Linked DNA regions of Saccharomyces cerevisiae S288C. The gene in region 1 interacts genetically with each later gene. Each region holds a gene or a part of one and is shown in the gene's direction. Other genes may lie near its edges.

Region 1 (5,450 bases):
TGTGCCTGATTCACCAATGATACCTAACGTCTGTCCGCAAAACATGTCAAAATTCATGTTTTTGTAAACAAAGGCGGTAGGTGCAGATGGATAGGCAAATGTCAAATTTTGAATTGAAACGATTGGTTTTTTTTCTTTGCCATGGTAGGTGTGACCAGCTATTCCCACTGTTCTAGCATTATTGTTTTCAACCTCTAGGGTATTATGCTTTTCATCAAGAATCCTATAGATCCAACTGGCAGCACGTTGGCCTCTACTTATATCGGGTATCTGACTTACTAGGCTAGTGCATGACATAATAGTGAATAATAACAAAGTGAAAGTCGTAAACATTTCCTTTGAGGTGTACTCGTGAATCATAACCAGCTTTAGGCCATAGTAGTAAATAATAGCTTGGATACACATGACAATCATGTTTGTCATAGATATACCAAATCCTGTGGCAATGGCGCGTTTGGAGGCAATTTGTTGCATTTTTATCTTCAAGTCATGGTAGGTCAATTGAAAATGAAATTCAGCTTGTAAGCACTTAATGGTTTTAATGTTAGTGACAATCTGGTACAGGCAGTTTTCTAACTGAGCAACAGATGTCTTATAATCTGTTTCGCATTTTTGTAAAATGCCTCCATATATTGCTGAAAATATAATTATGAGTGGAAACATCGAAATACAAACCAAACTTAACTTCCAGCCCGATACTAACGCCCAAATTAGTCCAATCGTTGATACGGTAACGAAACTAGTCATTGCACTCAAAAATTCAGAGACCAAAGACCTCAAATCTCGCAAATCATTCAAGACTAGAGCAGAAATTTCAGAAGCCTTGTTGTTTTCACCAGAAAACCAGTCCATATTCTTTCTCGTCAGTTTTTCCATAACTTCATTTCTAAGATCCATAACCCAGTATTCACTGCAGCAATCTAATAGGAATCCTTTAGCAAAATTGAAAATACCATCTGCCGCAGCCACACCAAGAACAAGAAGCGACCATTTCGCCAAATAATGTGAAGAGCCAGTTTTTCCATCCGTGGATGGGACAATTCCTTCTAGTAAGAAACTGAATGTGTATGAAAAGACGGGATTTGTGGCGCCTGCGATAAGAGAACATAGCAGTCCCAAGATTAGAATTTTTTTGTATCTTATGCTTTTAATCATTCTTTTGATAATCTGAATAATGCTCAGAAGTTGTGGCCCTGTTGAACTTTCGGTGTTCTTTTGTTGTTTTAGTGCATACCCAATATTTTCCTCTTCAACTTTAACCCTTCTTGTTCTAACGTTCGATCTTTTTTGATAGATTGCTTCGTAAAAGGACAACTGATCTGTCTCATCATATCCCAGATTACTTAAGCATGATCCAAGTTTTGGTGTTTCCAATTGAGAGTTAAAACTTTCCACAGTGTGTATAGATTTTTCTTCAGTCTCTGTATCTACAATAGTTTTCGCATCAGAGTAGTCATTCTGTAGGTGATACCATGTGCTAAATGTAGTGGTCGGATCGGCTAGAAGTTCAGACTGGGTGCCGCTTTCAACAACTTCACCTTCCTTCATTAAATATAAATAGTCATCAGATTCAATTTGGCTCAACTCATGCGTCAATATGATTGTAGTCTTTCCTTTCCTCCAATGCCTAATTGCCTTCATCAACAGGTTGCGATGAACAATATCTAGAGCCGATACAGCTTCGTCTAAGAATAATATTGGAGTATCTCTGATGAATGCACGTGCTATAGCAACTCTTTGTTGTTGCCCGCCACTTAGTGTGACACCCCCAGTCCCAATTAATGTTTCCAGTCCATCGGGAAGGTCTAGAATAAATCTATCCAGAAGAGCCATTTGACAGGCATCTTTGATTAAATGTCTATTTTCATTGGTGCTGCAATCGGCATTTCTTACCGAATCTGTTGAACCTAAAAGAATATTTTTTCTAAGAGTATCATTAAATAGGGTACAACGCTGTTCTACGACGGTGATATTTTCAATTAGCAATTTTTGGTCGATTGTTTGGATATTGTGGCCATTGATAGATATCGATCCATTATAGCCATCGTAGAACCTTAATAATAAGTTGGATAATGTAGATTTACCTGAGCCTGATTTTCCTACTATGAAAGTAAATTGTCCTGCAGAGAAATTTAAACTAACGTTCTTTAAAACTGCTTCCGAAGGTCTGCTTGGATAAGAAAACGAAACATTAGCAAATGTTAGATCACTGGTGGCATAATCTAGTGGAAATTGGTGGGCTACAGTTTTATTTAAAGGATTTCGCTTGGATCCATCTTTTAATAGAGTCATGATTTTTTCCATAGCCACTCCGCCTTTTTGAAGAACAACTATTTGGTGTAATGTATTATTTAAAGTCGAGCCCAGCATAATGCATGAATGGAAGCAAGTGATTACATCGTTAATGTTCAGCTTGCCCTTTTTGATCATTGCGGAACCAAACCAGAATCCCTGTACAAACATAGTCAACGTCAAAAATCTCAAGATCCCAGCGTTTGCAGCAACAAAAAAGCAACTCTTGATGAAGAAAGTGTTACAATTTAGTATGATTTCCTTGAATTTTTTCCTTTCTAGACGTTGTGTACAATATAATCTCACTAATTGAGCGGCATTCATCGACCATGTAAGTAATTGGGCTGCTTTACTCGTTTCAGAATTCTCCTTCTCTGAATATACATGAATCATTCTGGAAAACACCACTGCAAAAAATGTGATTATTGGAGAGCTGCAAAGAATAATTAAAGTTAATGACCAAGAATAGTAGAATGACGTCCCCAGAAGCGCACATATTGCAACTAAATTCTGGAAAGTTATGGCTGATGCCTCTGCGGAGCTTGATCTTAGCTCTTCCACACATCTGTTGATTTGAGTAAAATCTCCTAACAATTTTTCATTATTGTCGTACCATTCCATTGGCTTTTCCTCCAAATATGCCTCCAATATCTGTGACCGTATTCTAAAGCCTTGTCTCTCGCCGATGTGCATCCAACTTGTTAGAGAAAGCCACATTACTGGCACAGAAGCCGCACCAAGTGCCATTACTGCCATTGACCTCTGTACTAGTTGGGAATACAAACCTTGATGTGACCCATTAGCCACGAAAACTGATAGTAGATCGAACACTCTGCCCGTCAGGATAGAAGTAATTGCCGGCACTAGGCCTGTTGCCACGGTACCTATTATCATTATCATTAACAGCCTGTAGTCATTCCGTATGTTCACGTACCTGAAAATGTGATAGTGTTTTGTAGTCTTAAAACTTAAAAAGTTCATGACGTAGCTTGTTCTTTGTTTCCTAGTGGAATTTTCAGCGGCACTTGAAAGCTCTCTGTGTGAACGTAACAACGGGAGATAGTTCAGCCATATCCAGGTTTATAAGCTCTGGTATTTAAATGATGAACGGCAATAATGCAACAGTTTTCATATCTGAAACAATTGTATATGTGCGAAGCAGCGTGTAAATTTCCCTATTAGGTAATTACATGGCAAAAAAAATAAGAAACTATTTTCTTAAAGTACCTTTACCCTTTGTGGAAAACAATAAATTGTATAGTGGCAGAATAGAGAAAAGAAAAAGGAAAGGAACATATTTGTCAGTGCAAGGACCATCATTGTTTGAAAAAAGAGAGGATATTACTAGTAGGTAATAACAGCTATGTCGCGTTATATATATTATATATAAAAATTAAAAAATAGAAAATAAAATTTCAAATGCCCTCTGTGGGAATTGAACCCACGATCCCCGCATTACGAGTGCGATGCCTTACCACTTGGCCAAAAGGGCTGAGTAATTTTTATACCTGCTAAATTTGTGGCTCCGCTATACTTTACAGATTTATCTATTTTGAAGATGATACATTTAGCAAAAATGACCTTAAAAATGAAGCAGGTGCCATTTGCCTATAGCTTGGAAAAGTAGTAATGGTTATTCAAAAAGTTAGCAGCGAGATCTTTTTTCTATCGCGCGTTAAAACGTTTGAACAGATATATATTATTCAGCCACAACTATCTATATATAATATTTCTTCGATTTTTCGTTTTCTCAAGTTTCGTCTTATTGATTGATCAGAAGTTTACTGCGCTTTTGGGTAAAGAAGCATTAAACAAAGGAGAGAGAAATATTGCAAGGAAAAAATGGTGAGCTATGGAAGTCATAGTAGTGAGGTTTCGAAAGTTCTTAAAACGCCGAAGTTTGTGCTTAGGTATGGAAATGTATCCAGCAAACAACGTTTTGCCCTAAAGCGGAAGATAAATTACAAACTACGTGAAAGCAAATATCAAGAATACTTGAATGAATACAACACCTTCGTGCTTTACGACTGGGAAAACAGTGGCGCTGGTAGTCTTGTCGATTCTTCCTACAATCTCCCCTCTTTATGGAAGGAATTCATAACAGAGGGCATATCTAAAGGAGCAATAAACGACAAACTACCGACAGTCTTTATGAAGAGGAAGTTGACAAACTCAGCGTTGGGTCACTGTTTGGGACTTGATTTCCTGACTGATCCGAGCGAGTCAGAACATGAATACAGGTGCATGTTTCAGACAGTTCAGGACATCCCATCTCTCTCGCAACTGATCTTATTCAACAGCATGCCAAACGTTCCAGTAAGATTGAAATTGCATACCATTGGTATAAATATAAATTTCGGCTGCAAACGTTCCCTGATAAGCAACGGTGGTGATCAAGACACTGAAATGAGCGAAGCAGTCTCTTATATCCAGCCTTTATTGGAAGAATCCTCGAGAATGTACCGCAATTTAAACTACTGGAAGCTGTTAAAAATAGCACGAAATAACAAGAAGGATGAACCGTTGGATCAGAGCACGCGTATCAAGTCGCAAGTTAAGCTTTTACTGAGTCAATTGGCGACGAACCGAATTACCTCACCTTCCGTCACGGATCATGGGGGTCACAACTGGCTCATATTCACCAGAAGACGGTTGTAAACGATAAATATGCCATAAAGATCTGCGAACTGTACATATCCATATATAATGCGTATTATTTGGTGACTATAGCACTGGCTTCCGCCATCTCACTAAGAACGAAGAGGTATAATAAAGCATTGTGATGTTAAAGAATGACGATTAACCAGCATTTACAACAACTTCTCTTCAACAGAATAGACAAAACAACAAGCAGTATTCAACAAGCTAGGGCGCCGCAGATGTTATTAGATGACCAGCTGAAGTATTGGGTCCTGTTACCTATTTCGATTGTCATGGTTTTGACGGGTGTACTCAAACAGTACATCATGACACTTATAACGGGAAGCAGTGCAAATGAAGCACAACCAAGGGTAAAGTTAACTGAATGGCAATATCTACAATGGGCACAATTATTGATTGGAAACGGTGGGAACCTGTCTTCCGATGCATTTGCTGCGAAGAAGGAATTTCTAGTTAAGGATCTCACTGAGGAAAGGCACCTAGCCAAGGCCAAGCAG
Region 2 (3,705 bases), on another chromosome or scaffold:
TCATCTATTTTCATGGAGCGGAACTTAGCAAACGAGAAATAAACAAAAATGATTAGGAATGTATTCATGTTGAAAAGGTTATGAGATATGCAAGACCATTCGTTTTGATTTGCAATTAGTGAGAACAATTTAAACACCTTGGTGCGAAATTGAAGGTTTTTTTTTCCAAAGAAGTGTACAGCCCACACTAACAACTGCTAACTCAGATAAAAATAACAGAAACAAAAAAAAGGTAGGGAAGGCCCATCACACGGAAAATGAGTATAACAAGTGAAGAACTAAACTACTTGATATGGAGGTATTGTCAAGAGATGGGACACGAGGTGAGTGCATTAGCATTGCAGGATGAAACAAGAGTATTGGAATTTGATGAGAAGTATAAAGAACACATTCCTTTGGGTACACTGGTGAATCTAGTACAAAGGGGAATCTTGTATACAGAAAGTGAGTTAATGGTTGATAGTAAAGGTGATATCAGCGCTTTAAATGAACATCATCTTTCTGAAGATTTCAATTTGGTTCAGGCGCTGCAAATAGATAAAGAAAAATTTCCTGAGATCTCTTCTGAAGGAAGGTTCACTTTGGAAACCAATTCCGAGAGTAATAAAGCAGGTGAAGATGGCGCTAGTACTGTTGAAAGAGAAACCCAAGAGGACGATACTAATTCTATTGACAGTAGTGATGACCTAGACGGATTTGTCAAAATACTGAAGGAGATAGTAAAATTAGATAATATTGTTTCCTCCACTTGGAATCCATTGGATGAATCTATACTCGCATACGGTGAAAAAAATTCTGTTGCAAGACTAGCGAGGATAGTAGAAACCGATCAAGAAGGGAAAAAATACTGGAAACTCACGATAATAGCGGAGTTGAGACATCCTTTTGCTCTGAGTGCAAGTAGTGGTAAAACGACGAATCAAGTCACATGTCTTGCTTGGTCACACGATGGTAATTCAATTGTCACGGGTGTAGAAAATGGTGAGCTAAGACTATGGAATAAGACGGGGGCACTTCTGAATGTTTTAAATTTTCATAGAGCACCTATAGTATCCGTTAAATGGAACAAAGATGGAACACATATCATATCCATGGACGTGGAAAATGTCACTATACTCTGGAATGTTATAAGCGGGACCGTCATGCAGCACTTTGAATTAAAAGAAACCGGTGGCTCATCCATCAACGCAGAGAACCATAGTGGCGATGGTTCACTTGGGGTTGACGTTGAATGGGTAGACGATGACAAATTTGTCATTCCTGGCCCTAAAGGTGCTATATTTGTATACCAAATTACAGAAAAAACGCCCACTGGTAAACTTATTGGACACCATGGACCTATCAGCGTTTTGGAGTTCAATGACACCAATAAACTTCTACTTAGTGCCTCAGACGATGGTACTCTAAGAATATGGCATGGCGGTAACGGCAATTCTCAGAATTGCTTCTACGGACACTCACAAAGCATAGTATCGGCATCATGGGTCGGTGATGATAAGGTAATATCCTGCTCGATGGATGGCTCCGTTCGCCTATGGTCGCTGAAGCAGAATACGCTATTGGCTCTATCAATCGTGGATGGTGTCCCAATTTTTGCTGGAAGAATATCACAAGATGGACAGAAGTACGCAGTTGCTTTCATGGATGGGCAGGTAAACGTCTACGATTTAAAAAAACTGAACAGCAAGTCACGAAGTCTTTATGGTAACCGTGATGGGATTTTGAATCCATTACCAATTCCCCTCTACGCTAGCTACCAAAGCAGCCAAGACAATGATTATATATTTGATCTGTCATGGAACTGTGCGGGAAACAAGATTTCTGTAGCATACTCGCTTCAAGAAGGTTCAGTTGTAGCCATATAATAACTAGGTACAGTACATAAACAGATGAATTTTATCATTCTTATTGTTATTTCTTTGTTTACAAAAGGTGAAAAGTGAAAAATTTCGCAATGGAAAACGTCGCGGGCCGCCTTTGAGTGACGTTGTGCAGGAATCTCGAAGAGTCATCACTTTGAAGATAACGGCCGCTCGCGATGAGAGAAGACAATGAGCATTGCTTTTTTATAATTTTTTATACCTTGTGTTAAAATAAGTTTCTTTAATTAGTTTTCACCTCTTGGATGATACAACTGTAATTGATAAATAGGGGTAGCCATAAAGAACAGAAAAAAGCGGCGCAATAATTTCGTGTATTACAATTACAGTTAGTCATGAGTGAAGAATTTCCTACGCCGCAGCTTTTGGATGAATTGGAAGATCAACAGAAAGTTACCACGCCGAATGAGAAGAGAGAGTTAAGTTCTAATCGTGTGTTGAAGGATATTTTTGCGGGTACCATCGGTGGTATTGCACAAGTTCTTGTAGGGCAACCGTTTGATACAACAAAAGTTAGGCTTCAAACAGCCACCACAAGAACAACAACGTTGGAGGTATTGCGTAACTTGGTAAAGAATGAGGGTGTGTTTGCATTCTACAAAGGTGCGTTAACACCGTTATTGGGTGTTGGTATATGTGTCTCAGTACAATTTGGTGTGAATGAGGCGATGAAAAGATTTTTCCAAAATTACAACGCTTCTAAGAACCCGAATATGAGCTCACAGGACGTAGATCTTTCACGTTCAAATACTCTGCCACTATCCCAGTACTACGTTTGTGGGTTGACAGGTGGTGTAGTCAATTCATTCTTGGCATCGCCCATTGAACAAATAAGAATTCGTTTGCAGACGCAAACATCTAATGGTGGAGACAGAGAATTCAAAGGTCCTTGGGACTGTATTAAAAAATTGAAAGCTCAAGGTGGATTGATGAGGGGTTTATTTCCCACAATGATAAGAGCCGGACATGGGCTTGGTACATATTTTCTTGTCTACGAAGCATTGGTTGCCAGAGAAATTGGTACGGGACTAACAAGAAACGAAATTCCTCCTTGGAAATTATGCTTATTTGGTGCATTTTCCGGGACAATGTTGTGGTTGACAGTATACCCATTGGACGTTGTGAAATCCATTATACAAAACGATGATTTACGAAAACCTAAATACAAGAATTCCATTTCTTACGTAGCAAAGACCATTTATGCAAAAGAAGGTATCAGAGCCTTTTTCAAAGGGTTTGGGCCAACAATGGTTAGGTCCGCGCCCGTTAATGGTGCGACATTCCTGACGTTTGAATTAGTCATGAGATTTCTGGGGGAAGAGTAGGAGAGTATATATGAAAACATCGTTTTATAGATATAGACATAGACATGCTGTTATCATACCAAATAGAAAAGTGTACAGTCTTTTAGTGATTATCATCTATGTGGTGTCAAACTAAGAAATTATATCGATCGTTACAGAATATATGATGAGGGAATATGCATAAAAAAAAATCTAAAGTTAGTGAAGAGAAAAGGGTATGCAGGTAAAAACGAATATATCACACATCAAGCAAACTCAAAAGAACAATCACTGGACTCGACTTTATTTTTCAAAGATGGTACTAATTCCAGCTGTTGGAACTTTTCAGCATCTTGATGATAGTAAAACCCTTGAATGTTCCCGGTAACTTGATCATGGACAATGTAATAAAACCCATCATAAGATGCGCCGTCTACACCTTCCATTAATAGGGCATCTGGTACCAAAAATTTTTCCTTCCATTTCATAAATATAAACCGTTCGTTCAAGTAGTTGTCAAATTGTTTCTCTTGGCTAAAAAT
Region 3 (6,452 bases), on another chromosome or scaffold:
GTATGGATTAGAATTGAAGTGACAGTTTAAATGAGTATCTGATAGTTGCGGTCTAAGCTGGTATGTGTTCAGTCTTGGTAAAGACGGAGGAATCAAATTGTTTATTGTCACCGGCCTTGCAATATGTGGGCCCGCAGTATTTGGAACATCCTCACACAATGCTCCTATATTAACAGAATTTCTTCTTCCAGAAAGATCTGTAAGTGAGCCAGTTCTGCTCTCATAACCAGGCTCTTCAAGTGTTGCAATCTTTGGGAGCTGAATTTGCGGTAGAGTCACATTCGAAGCAACTACCGAAATTGTATGCAAATCAGCCTTGTTCTCCTCTTTAATAAACCCTACAGGAGGGCTTGGCACGAAAGCGGTATCCGTCATTTTTTTTGGCTTTGTACTGTCTCTTGTCATTGAATGGGAAGCTAAAATAGGTTGAAAATTAAAAGGATGATTGTCCATTTTTATTTGCATTAACATTTGAGTAGGTTTTTGGTTTTCCTTCTTGTTCCAAGCTGTTATTCTATATCTATGATGAGATTAACGGCTGCAAAAAGTCGTAGTTAATCAGTAAAATTATCTAATGAATTATTTGTAAGCAGAATGCGTGAGAAAAAATAAATCACCCAGTTCCTTTTTTATATACATGAACTTTGGTAATGATGCAGACATCAACTAGTTCTCGAGTGAGGAGGTATCCTTATCAAATCACTCTCTCCCTAGTATTGAAAGGGTTTTACTCGCCTTCTGCTCCTAGTTACGATTTTTGCCTAGTACTCCTTCCTACCCTCTTCCTCATAGATTTAATGCCAATAAAATTTTCTTTGCATGTCACCATTGGGATCGGTGAGGCAACTCCGGTTCCGATTTTTTTTTTTTCAGCGCCGTGGTATTTCCGCTCGGGAAATCCCCTCCCGCATTGCGTCAGAGCTTATCGATGTAAAGTTAATTTCCCTTTTTTTCGGTTGGGCTGGAGCACTTGGTTGCATTACTAACAAATTAACGAACAATAGTTTTAAAAGCAAGTGCCTTAAGATTTAGGTCATTCCTTCGAGGATTTCTGGGAACAATTTAAAGAATAACAGAAACTTTTGCGGCCCTTTTCATCATCTACGTGTTTTGTAAGAATGAGATCACATTCCACGTAGCCCTAAACATTGGCGTACATTTCCACTCGGAACCTTTTCTCGACCCCTCTCCGTACGCCAAGTTTTACCTTGAGGAGTAAGTCGTCAAAGGGGCGTGGGGCAGCCATTTCTTAGGAGGTGGGAAGACATGGCAGTGAGTGGGCCCTATGATTGCTGCTGCAGGGGACTTTTCAGGATAATCATGTAAACGATAAAACGGAAAAACAAAACTACGGACGTTGTTACCTTTCCATTTTGAAATGTTTCTCCGAAAAAATACCATTTTGCACAGTTCAACATTCTTGATGGCAAAAGCGAAGCATTGCGTCAACGGGTTAGATAAGTCATTTACTGTCAATTAGTACCAATACCTGTCTTTGCTCACCGAATGGCACTATACAGTGACGTTAAGATCTTGTAGTTGTTTTTCAAGAAGGCACTAAATAAGGTAATATATGGTGCCTTTCGCAATGACTCGTGTATCTGGCAGATCTATAGCTGCACACCTGATTTTTTTGCTATATTTGAATCAGGAGTAAGTTTGAACCATAATCATTCCAATTCAGTTTGATAGTACCTTTTTTTTAAAATTTTTGAAAGAGCTATCGCTTAGCTATCGGCGGGCATATTGAATTGCGCAGTAGATGAACATTTCACTAGTTGTGGCCAAAGAAGTTAGTTAAAAAGTGTAAATATGTCACAGTACTTATCCTTCTCTAAAGAATTAGTTTATTAAAAGCAGCAACAAGAAGAATGACTGTCAACCATTTTTAGGTCATTGCAACAAATCTCAAAATACGCTTTTATAGATAATCTAAGAAGATCGTTATATGGGAATACTAACAGTGAGAAAATGGAAGAAACGGGTTAGCGTAGAAAATTGTAATTAAAAAACAACAGTTTTAAGAAGGTGGTGGGCAATTAATACTTGAGGATTAATACTTAGAGCTTATTCAAAAAGAAAAGATAGAATTTCATGTAATACATGAGAACAATGTAAGGTTTTTAAGGTAACGAGTAACTAAGTTTTGAAATATCTTCACTAGCCTTGCAATCATCTTTTAGCTTTTCTATTTGCCGGATTCTTTACAACATAATCACGCTTTCTTCTAGTTGTAATTTTCCTTCTAGATGTCATTATTTCAACCGATGTCATTAATATCCTTTTATGGTGTTTACAAAAAGAAAGTTTCAAGTACCGCTCACCTACACTACGTTGTAATTCTTAGATACATAACTTTAGTTTTGTCGCCTATGTGCACAGATAAACAAAACAACCTATAAAATTTCCGTTGGGCCCTTTTGTCCCTGATTTCTGGTGTGTAACCCATTTATTTCTGTCCTGTAATAATTCGTCTTCGGTGATTGCCATATATACACAGTTTAGCTTTACTAACTATAAACATCCGAGAAGAAGAAAAAAGAAGGTCTGATTTCTATCAAACAACATGTGAAGATAACACAATCGATGTGATTGATATCAGATTTACTAGCCCCGTTGGATTGAAAAATCTGCAAGGAAGGGCTAAAGAGCAATATACTTTCTTTTGTTGTTTCGGGGTGATGAGAAAATTGTAACTTTTTTTTTTAACTTGGCGAGAAAATTGACTGGAAGAAGTGTCAAAGATAAGGCTTCTATCATATTCAAAACAAGTACCACCAAATGGCAGCTCAACTCCGAAGGCTCAAAAACAATACTTATTGATATTGCACTCACAAGCATTTTTTGTTGCGGAACGTCTTTACGTGCAAGATTAATGATCATAAGATTGCATTTTTACTACCTCCTCACTTTAGTTTACCATTTAGGACTTGTAGGTGCGTATGAAAAAGCAGCAAGAAAGAGAATTCAACCTCCCGATTTGATACCTGGTCCTCCGGGACATAAACTTGGTGATGAAAGACCACCGCATTACGACCACCGGCCACCTTATAAAAAACACATCGACAACATTCCAGCTTACAATCTGACTGATTTGATAGATGATAAACTACTAAATAAATATGAAAACTCATGCACGGTAAATGTATTGACAGGTGGCTTCATCTCTCTAGCAAGTAATTCGTGGCACTTACGTGCTTATAATTACACTTTAAATTACCCATCCTTTTTGATCCGATGCGATAATGGCAGTGCAAATCCTAATTTCTCTCATGTCTTACAAGACTTTGTTTATGACATCAACAACAAATTCAACGTTCAAGATGACAGTAGTAAATACATCGGAAAAGACCCATTTCCCTTAGGAATGATAATGATCACCTTTGCTTCTGGGTGTATCTGTGTGGCAACATGGATGCTATTTTTGGTTGTCTTATTACTGCCATCCGATAATCATAATAGAAGAAATAAAGTTGTACATGTTTACGTCCTTTTCTCTGCGATTATAAGAACTGTATTTCTAAACGAGACTATAGCCGTCATATTTGACAGCCAATATCACGATGACTACCAGGATGCGAGCCAATTTGAATCGTTCATCGTAGAAACTGCACCATATAAAATATGTGAATTAGTTGCAAATATTTTGAGTGATATAAACTGGATTTATATTGTTCACTACTTACAGTCCAATTATGGAAAACCAACTTGGAATTGGATCCCATTTAAAATGAAAAAGGGGACACATATCATAATTACCGTGGGTTGCTTCCTCTCACTAGCCGATAACATTTTATTCGCAAACCTTCTTTGGAGAAAGAACCTTGTAGTTTTGAAGGTATTTTACAAGCTAATCGAATTACTGATTTACACAATTTTCATCTCCATTATTTGTTACTTCACATGGCATAATTTTGCTTACATACTTTTACCGAAAACTGCTGAAATTAATACGGACGGTAAGTGTAAAACGAAATTGAGAATTCTTTGGGAAAATTATCACGAAACTATACCATTATTGGCGTATAATATTCTTATATTTATTTTATTCTATTTCACCACAATTTTTTTCGCTGCTTTCACCAAACATGTTAGAGGTTGGACATTTAACTTTGTTCATCTTTTGAAAGTTTTAATAACAGTGAACGTTTGGGGCTTAATTGGAGTATTGGAAAAGAGGGAGCTGCACATAAGCAAAAAAACAGTCCTTGGACGAAAAATTAACAATAGGGACAAATTTTTCGCCAATCCAACAGTCAATTATTACGGAGAAGATTTAGGCAAGCATTTAAGCGCCATAACGTTAAACAGGGATTTAAACACTACTAAAAGTAACACTACTTCCCACGATTCATCAAGTTTAGTAGGATCCCCTTCACCCACCTGGAAATCTCCAATCGAAAGAATAAGGGACAGAAGAAGAAGACATAAGATAATGAAAAGTGAGAATAAATTTGGGCAAAATCCCAGTTTTGGAAGTAAATCGAATGGCAAACCTAATACTAAAACGACATTATCCAAATATCGACAGCTATTAAGGAAGCCTAGGCGAAAAACCAATTCATATGAACCAAAAAATGGCATTGGACAGAATAAAGAAGGCTCAACTGTTAGACCAGGAGCCGACAAACATATTAGAGATTCCAATTATCTAGCTACAGACATCAGTGACAACGAAAGTATGGAAACCGAACTTCGAACCAACCACATTTATAATTACGAAAATAGTGATTAAGGCAGGCCCAGTGGACGAAAAGACATAACTGCAGAAGTACAGCTGCCTTTATTTCTTGTGGTCATTTATTGCTTTTATTTTCAAGTCAGATATACAAGAAAATCAAATCCCATCGTCAACGTCACGTATAAACGATTAATTTACAGTAATACCATACTCTACCAACATTATTTTAGTCCGACGTTCAGTCCTGTAGGTGTTCCAAATCCTTCTGGCATTGACTTCTGTGCAGAAACCCTTCAAAATGAGTTCCACTTTACGTCAGATCGCATAACAACCGGTCATATATTTTTTTCTTTTGCTAAACCCCCTACTGCAAGCACTTTTAAGAAAAAGAACAATAAATGCGTCTTTATTGCTGTGTGGAAGTGATTTTTGTCTTTCGGACAAAAAAAGGATAGGGATGCGAGAGGGCTGTGAAGTAGTGATCAAGCGGGGCCTATATAAGAAGGGCGCACATCGTCCCCCCTAAGAATAGCGAAGCGATATTACACTGAACACTACAATGTCAAATAGTACTCAATAAATATGACTGTAAAAATATGTGACTGTTAAGGCGAATGTTGTAAGGACTCTTGTCATTGTGGGAGCACCTGCCTTCCAAGCTGTTCTGGCGGTGAAAAGTGCAAATGTGATCACAGCACCGGAAGCCCTCAATGTAAGAGTTGTGGTGAAAAATGCAAATGCGAAACCACGTGCACTTGTGAAAAGAGTAAATGCAATTGTGAAAAATGTTAGGTGACCCCTACTCTTTACTTATCATAAATACATCATCATATTTTACCCTTAATTAACAACATTTATTTAACTGCATGAACTAAATATAAGGTATAGTTTCTTTTTCCCGGAATCTTTTTTTTAGATCGTTATTATTTAGACGGCACTAAGAGAAATAAATTAAACTAAATTACGGTGCGGAGCTCAAGGCATCTGCGAGTGTTTACTAACACTAAAAGAGATGAATAAAATAGATTTCTCAATGCAAAATTAAAATTACAATGTTACGCATACACACAAGTACAGATTTGTATATAGTATTTCTTCTTCGTTTTATCTGTCGTGTTGAAACATTTTGTTGTTCAAGTATTAAAAGTCTCCTGCGTTGTTAAAATCCATATCATGTGAATTGTTGGTGCCGCTCATGAGGCCGTTTTGATGTGGAATATTATATTGAATGTTATGCAATGGTTGTTGTTGTCGTGGCTGCCGCTGCCGTTGGCGTTGGCAGCTTCTGGTTTGCTTTTGTACTTGTTCACTACTACTGTTGTCACTCAACGGTTGAGATGGCTCGGTAAGATGGACGAAAGAATCCCGTGTGTCATTTGATAAATGTTGATTAGCCAAGCTTAGCTGTAGGCACTTTCTTTCTAAATGACAAATATATTCAATAGATTTCGTTAAAATGGACGCCTTATTCAATTTTGTTGCTGGCTCTAGGCCATCTAAGTCTGCTAGGTCTCTAGATGTAATGGGAAGATCGTTACATTTTTTATACGCTACTCGTAGCGTTGGGACAGTTCTCCTTAATTGTTCAATTTTATCATTAATATTGGAACGGTATTTCTTTTCAATTATATTGTGTGATACCCTTCCTGTCCTCACCCTTGTTATTCTTTTGGGTTTAACATGAAAATGTTTCCGTATAGGTGAAGTTTTTAACTTGAAGCTCATACTGTCAGCATTGTCAATATTCTCCAAATTCAAAGATGATTTAATC
Region 4 (4,820 bases), on another chromosome or scaffold:
TCAAGTTGGATACTCTCGACGAACCCAGTGCACATTTAATCGAGGAAAATGTGGCTCTTCCAGAGGATACATTCAATTCGTACTGGAGTTATATACTTAATGAAATCGCTCGTTGTAAACCGCTAATGATTATGTTCCTAATACCTGTGTGTTTGGTTTTATTGATTACGTTTTTTCATGATATCAAAGGTATCCTTGTGTTTTTAGTGATTTCTCTTATCCTCTCTATTATCATTTTATTGATCGGTATAACTGCCTTCGTGTCTGAGACCTTGAATAAGGGTTTCATAATTAAGCTTTTAGTAGAAGTCATTACACGTAAACCAGCAGTAGGGGGGAAGGAATGGAGAATAATCGCATATAATATGAACCAGTATCTGTTTGACCATGGGATATGGCATACTCCGTATTACTTTTTTTGTGAACATAGGTGCCATAAATTTTTCAAAAGCCTTATCAAACAGACAAGGTCGAATGCACATTTGAGTTCACCAACGAACGGTGCAGAGAATACGCAGTCAAACACACCAGCAAAAGAGGTTTCAAATGAGATGGTAAAACCTTATATCTTTAGTTCTGATCCAGTTTTAGAAGCTTACCTTATTAAAGCTGCGGAAATTCACAAAGAAGCTGAATTTGAGTATTGGAGAAAGCAATACCCAGAGGTTGATTTGCCTTAGGGCCGAATTTTTGGTATTTATCTAGTATATTCTAATATAAAATGTACGAGCATCATTAACTTCAAGAACATTACGAAGCCCGCAATTAAGTGTCAGTCCATCTGGGTGTAAAAGTTATGTACGCTCGAAACAAATTTTATGTAGTTTACTTTAGATGCAAATGCTATTATATATTTTGCTTTATGATCCTCGGCTTGATGCTCGCCAACGTGAGATAGCTGGTCATCACAATAGATCAGCCGGGACGCTTTTCGATCACATCGAATCCCTTCGGGACGTTGCAACAATACGTGAAAAATGCCTCAAAAATAATAAATACAATGGTGAACAACGTTAAAAAAGCATAAAACAGCTGGCTATTTTGATCAGGATAACATCTATAAGTGCCATATTAAGGCAAGATATCAATTGACCATGCAAACACCTTCAGAAAATACCGACGTAAAGATGGATACTCTCGACGAACCCAGTGCACATTTAATCGAAGAGAATGTAGCTCTTCCCGAAGACACATTCAGTTCACATCTGAGTTATGTACTTTATGAAATTGCTCATTGTAAACCGATCATGTTTATGATCATCATAATCGTGAGTTTGATCTCATTGATTGTGCTTTTTCATGATAACGACGGGTGCACTGTGATCTTAGTGATGTCCCTTATAGTAGCCTCCATGGCTTTAATGGTGGTTGCAGCATTCACATTCGGGAAAGCGATCACTGAACAGGAGTTCATGATAAAGCTTTTAGTGGAGGTGATCGCACGCAAGCCTGCGGGGAAGGAATGGGGTACTGTCGCATATAATATGAACCAATATCTATTCATGAAGAGACTATGGTATACCCCGTACTATTTCTATAGCGGCAAGAAGTGCCATGAGTTCTTCACCACTCTTATCAAGGAAGTGAATTCTGGTTCGCACTCGGATTCCTCATCGAATAGTGCCGAGGATACACAATCACCTGTCTCAGCAGGGAAGACTTCAAATGGTCTAAACAACTTTTATAGTATTAGATCAGACCCTATTTTGATGGCATATGTTTTGAAGGCAACACAAATAGAAAAGGAGGCTCAAAGTGAATACTGGAGAAAGCAATATCCTGACGCTGATTTACCTTGAAGCGGAAGCATTTTATTCACCAAGTATACTTACTTTTCTTTAAAACGAGAACAAGAATCGAATTCAAGAACATCTCGAAGCCAGAATTGAGCATCATATATTCGAGCTGTACAAACATCATGGCCTACAACTATCGTATTTGTAAGTTTTTTTAGAGGTTTTCATATTTGTTTAATAAGGGTTCTGTCAGTTTTTGTCACATTCTATTGTTGCGCTTCGCATAATGCAGCCAAGAAAATCCAAACAATAGAAAAAGAAAAAAAGGATCTCAAAAAGGGTTTGGTGTTGTAGTTATAAGAATAACTAGTGAATAAAAAAGCTGTTGTTTGGTCCGTATTACATTCGTCAAAAATTTAGTACTCAAATCGTGTATGCAATCGCAACCACAAAATAAAAATATTAGACTGGATGTGTTGAGTGGAGATGGTGCCAATTTAGTTGAGGGAAATGTGGTCCTTCCCAAAGACATGTTCAATTCGTACTTAAGTTATTCACTTTACGTGTTACGAGGGGGCTCATTGTAAGCCGATAATGATTATGTTCCTGGCATCTGTAATTTTGATTTCACTGACTAATTTCCGAGTATACCATCTCATGTCCCTTCTATCCTCTTTTTTCATCTCCGGGACAGACCGACAATAAAGCATCTAATATTAGGCTTTCGTTAGAGGTAAGCACACGCCAGCGTTCGGTGAAAGGGGAATGAAACATTATCACGTACAAGATGAATAAATATCTATTTGACCATAAAATATGGAGTACTCCTTACTACTTTTATTGCGAAGAAGATTGCCACCGTCTTTTTCTAAGTTTTATTGAGGGAAGAACTTTCGAGAAGCCAACAAGCAACGCTGAGGAAAATGTACAGGAGACTGAAGCTGGCGAATCTTTCACATTAAATCCCGGAGAAGATTTTCAAAATTGCTTTCCAAGACAGCGGATATTGTAGAACAATCTCAAGTGAAGTATTGGCAAGATATTGGTGCAATTATTTGAAAGGAAGGAGAAATATTCTGACAGTACCTTGCTAGCAAAGGGATTTACCAATCCACTGACGCTAAAATGGGGTAGTAAATTAGATAAATTGCATTCTAACGTGACTTTATATAGTGGGAAACAGATATGTAGCACACAAAACGGCATGATTATGCTTAATTGATTCCTATTTTTTAACGTAAATACTCTCCCAGAACGATCAGAAAACTTAACCCGCAACCATCTTTGCTGTGCTAACAACTTATGTCGCCTCAATACCATTTTTATTTTGTATCATTCCGGAACTTAGTATTGAATGAAAAATGCCTCCGAAGTAAAAAGCAGGTGATGAAAAGTTTCAATTGGTATAAGACAGATCGCTATTTTGATCCGCATAACATCCTTCAACACCATAGCAGAGCTATAGAGAAGACAAGATATAAACTGGGCATGCAAACATCTTCAGAAAGTACCGACGCCAAGTCGGATTTTCTCGACGAACCCAGTGCATATTTAATTGAGAAAAATGTGGCTCTTCCCAAGGACATATTCGGTTCGTACTTAAGTTATTGGATATATGAAGTTACTCGTCATAAAGCGGCAGTAATTTTGCTCGTACTTATTGTGACTTCAATTTTATTATTAGTGTTTTTTTATAATACGGAATTTTGCGTTGCCTTTGAGATACTATTGTTTTCCTTTTGCTTTCCAGGAACATGCATGGTTGTAATTGCATTTAGTGAACCGATCGGTGATCGGGAATTTAAAGTTAAGCTTCTGATGGAAATTATCACACGTAAACCGGCGGTAAAGGGGAAAGAATGGAGGACAATTACATACAAGATGAACCAGTATTTATTTGATCATGGGCTATGGGATACTCCCTACTACTTTTACCGTGATGAAGATTGCCACCGTTATTTTCTAAGTCTTATTAAGGGAAGAACTTTCAAGAAGCAAAAGGAATCGTCAGCCAGCAATGTTAAAGACGCACAATCAAATGACGAAACCGCTGGCACACCAAACGAAGCCGCTGAGTCTTCTAGTTTTAGTGCCGGACCGAACTTTATAAAGCTCCTCACCAAGGCAGCCGAAATCGAACAACAATTTCAAAAGGAATATTGGCGACAAGAGTATCCTGGTGTCGATGAGTTTTTTTAGACAGAAGACGGGAGACACTAGCACACAACTTTACCAGGCAAGGTATTTGACGCTAGCATGTGTCCAATTCAGTGTCATTTATGATTTTTTGTAGTAGGATATAAATATATACAGCGCTCCAAATAGTGCGGTTGCCCCAAAAACACCACGGAACCTCATCTGTTCTCGTACTTTGTTGTGACAAAGTAGCTCACTGCCTTATTATCACATTTTCATTATGCAACGCTTCGGAAAATACGATGTTGAAAATGCCTCTAGAGATGAAAAACAATCGTAAAAGGGTCCTGCGTAATTGAAACATTTGATCAGTATGCAGTGGCACAGAAACAACCAGGAATACTATAGTCATAGGCAATACAAGGTATATATTGGCTATGCAGACCCCTCCAGAAAGTACCGACGTCAAGTTAGATACACTTAACGAACCTAGTGCACATTTAATTGAGAAAAATGTGGCTCTTCCTAAGGACATATTCCGTTCGTACTTGAGTTATTGGATCTATGAAATCGCTCGCTATACACCAGTCATGATTTTGTCCCTGGTAATAGGGGTTTTGGTTTTATTAATTATATTTTTTAATGACAACGAAGCTTGTGTTTTCAATTCTGCAATATTTGCTTTTACTTCTCTTGTAGGTTTGTTAATAATATTAAGTGATGGTAATCCAAAGCTAGTCAGTCGTCGAAATTTTAGGACCGAGCTTTTAGTGGATGTCATCACACGTAAACCGGCGGTAGAAGGGAAAGAATGGAGGATCATCACATACAACATGAACCAATATTTGTTTAATCATGGGCAATGGCATACTCCGTATTACTTTTACAGCGATGAGGATTGCTACCGTTATTTTCTACGCCTTGTTGAGGGAGTAACCCCCAAGAAGC

Evidence for each region.
Region 2: mutations in CBT1 (region 1) and YMC2 together harm fitness more than expected from each alone (negative genetic interaction), as found in Saccharomyces cerevisiae (2 studies listed by BioGRID).
Region 3: mutations in CBT1 (region 1) and DFG16 together harm fitness more than expected from each alone (negative genetic interaction), as found in Saccharomyces cerevisiae (2 studies listed by BioGRID).
Region 4: mutations in CBT1 (region 1) and DFP2 together harm fitness more than expected from each alone (negative genetic interaction), as found in Saccharomyces cerevisiae (2 studies listed by BioGRID).

What each region holds. Positions count from the first base shown.
Region 1 is NC_001143.9:43,023-48,472, forward strand, and holds CBT1 (Cbt1p), read left to right. Parts: upstream 1-4,134; coding exon 4,135-4,950; downstream 4,951-5,450. Other genes in the region: ATP-binding cassette a-factor transporter STE6, read right to left, coding at 1-3,273; ER membrane complex subunit EMC3, read left to right, coding at 5,172-5,450. UniProt on the Saccharomyces cerevisiae protein: Involved in 5'-end processing of mitochondrial COB, 15S rRNA, and RPM1 transcript. May also have a role in 3'-end processing of the COB pre-mRNA.
Region 2 is NC_001134.8:447,452-451,156, forward strand, and holds YMC2 (organic acid transporter), read left to right. Parts: upstream 1-2,215; coding exon 2,216-3,205; downstream 3,206-3,705. Other genes in the region: SIF2 (Sif2p), read left to right, coding at 258-1,865; glucose-induced degradation complex subunit VID24, read right to left, coding at 3,430-3,705.
Region 3 is NC_001147.6:383,950-390,401, forward strand, and holds DFG16 (Dfg16p), read left to right. Parts: upstream 1-2,875; coding exon 2,876-4,735; downstream 4,736-6,452. Other genes in the region: CIN5 (Cin5p), read right to left, coding at 1-471; YOR029W (uncharacterized protein), read left to right, coding at 651-986; HMS1 (Hms1p), read right to left, coding at 5,822-6,452. UniProt on the Saccharomyces cerevisiae protein: Involved in invasion during filamentous growth.
Region 4 is NC_001133.9:183,798-188,617, forward strand, and holds DFP2 (DUP240 family protein), read left to right. Parts: upstream 1-2,523; coding exon 2,524-2,748; downstream 2,749-4,820. Other genes in the region: DUP240 family protein UIP3, read left to right, coding at 1-680; KTD1 (DUP240 family protein), read left to right, coding at 1,095-1,799; pheromone-regulated DUP240 family protein PRM9, read left to right, coding at 3,039-3,935; DUP240 family protein MST28, read left to right, coding at 4,310-4,820.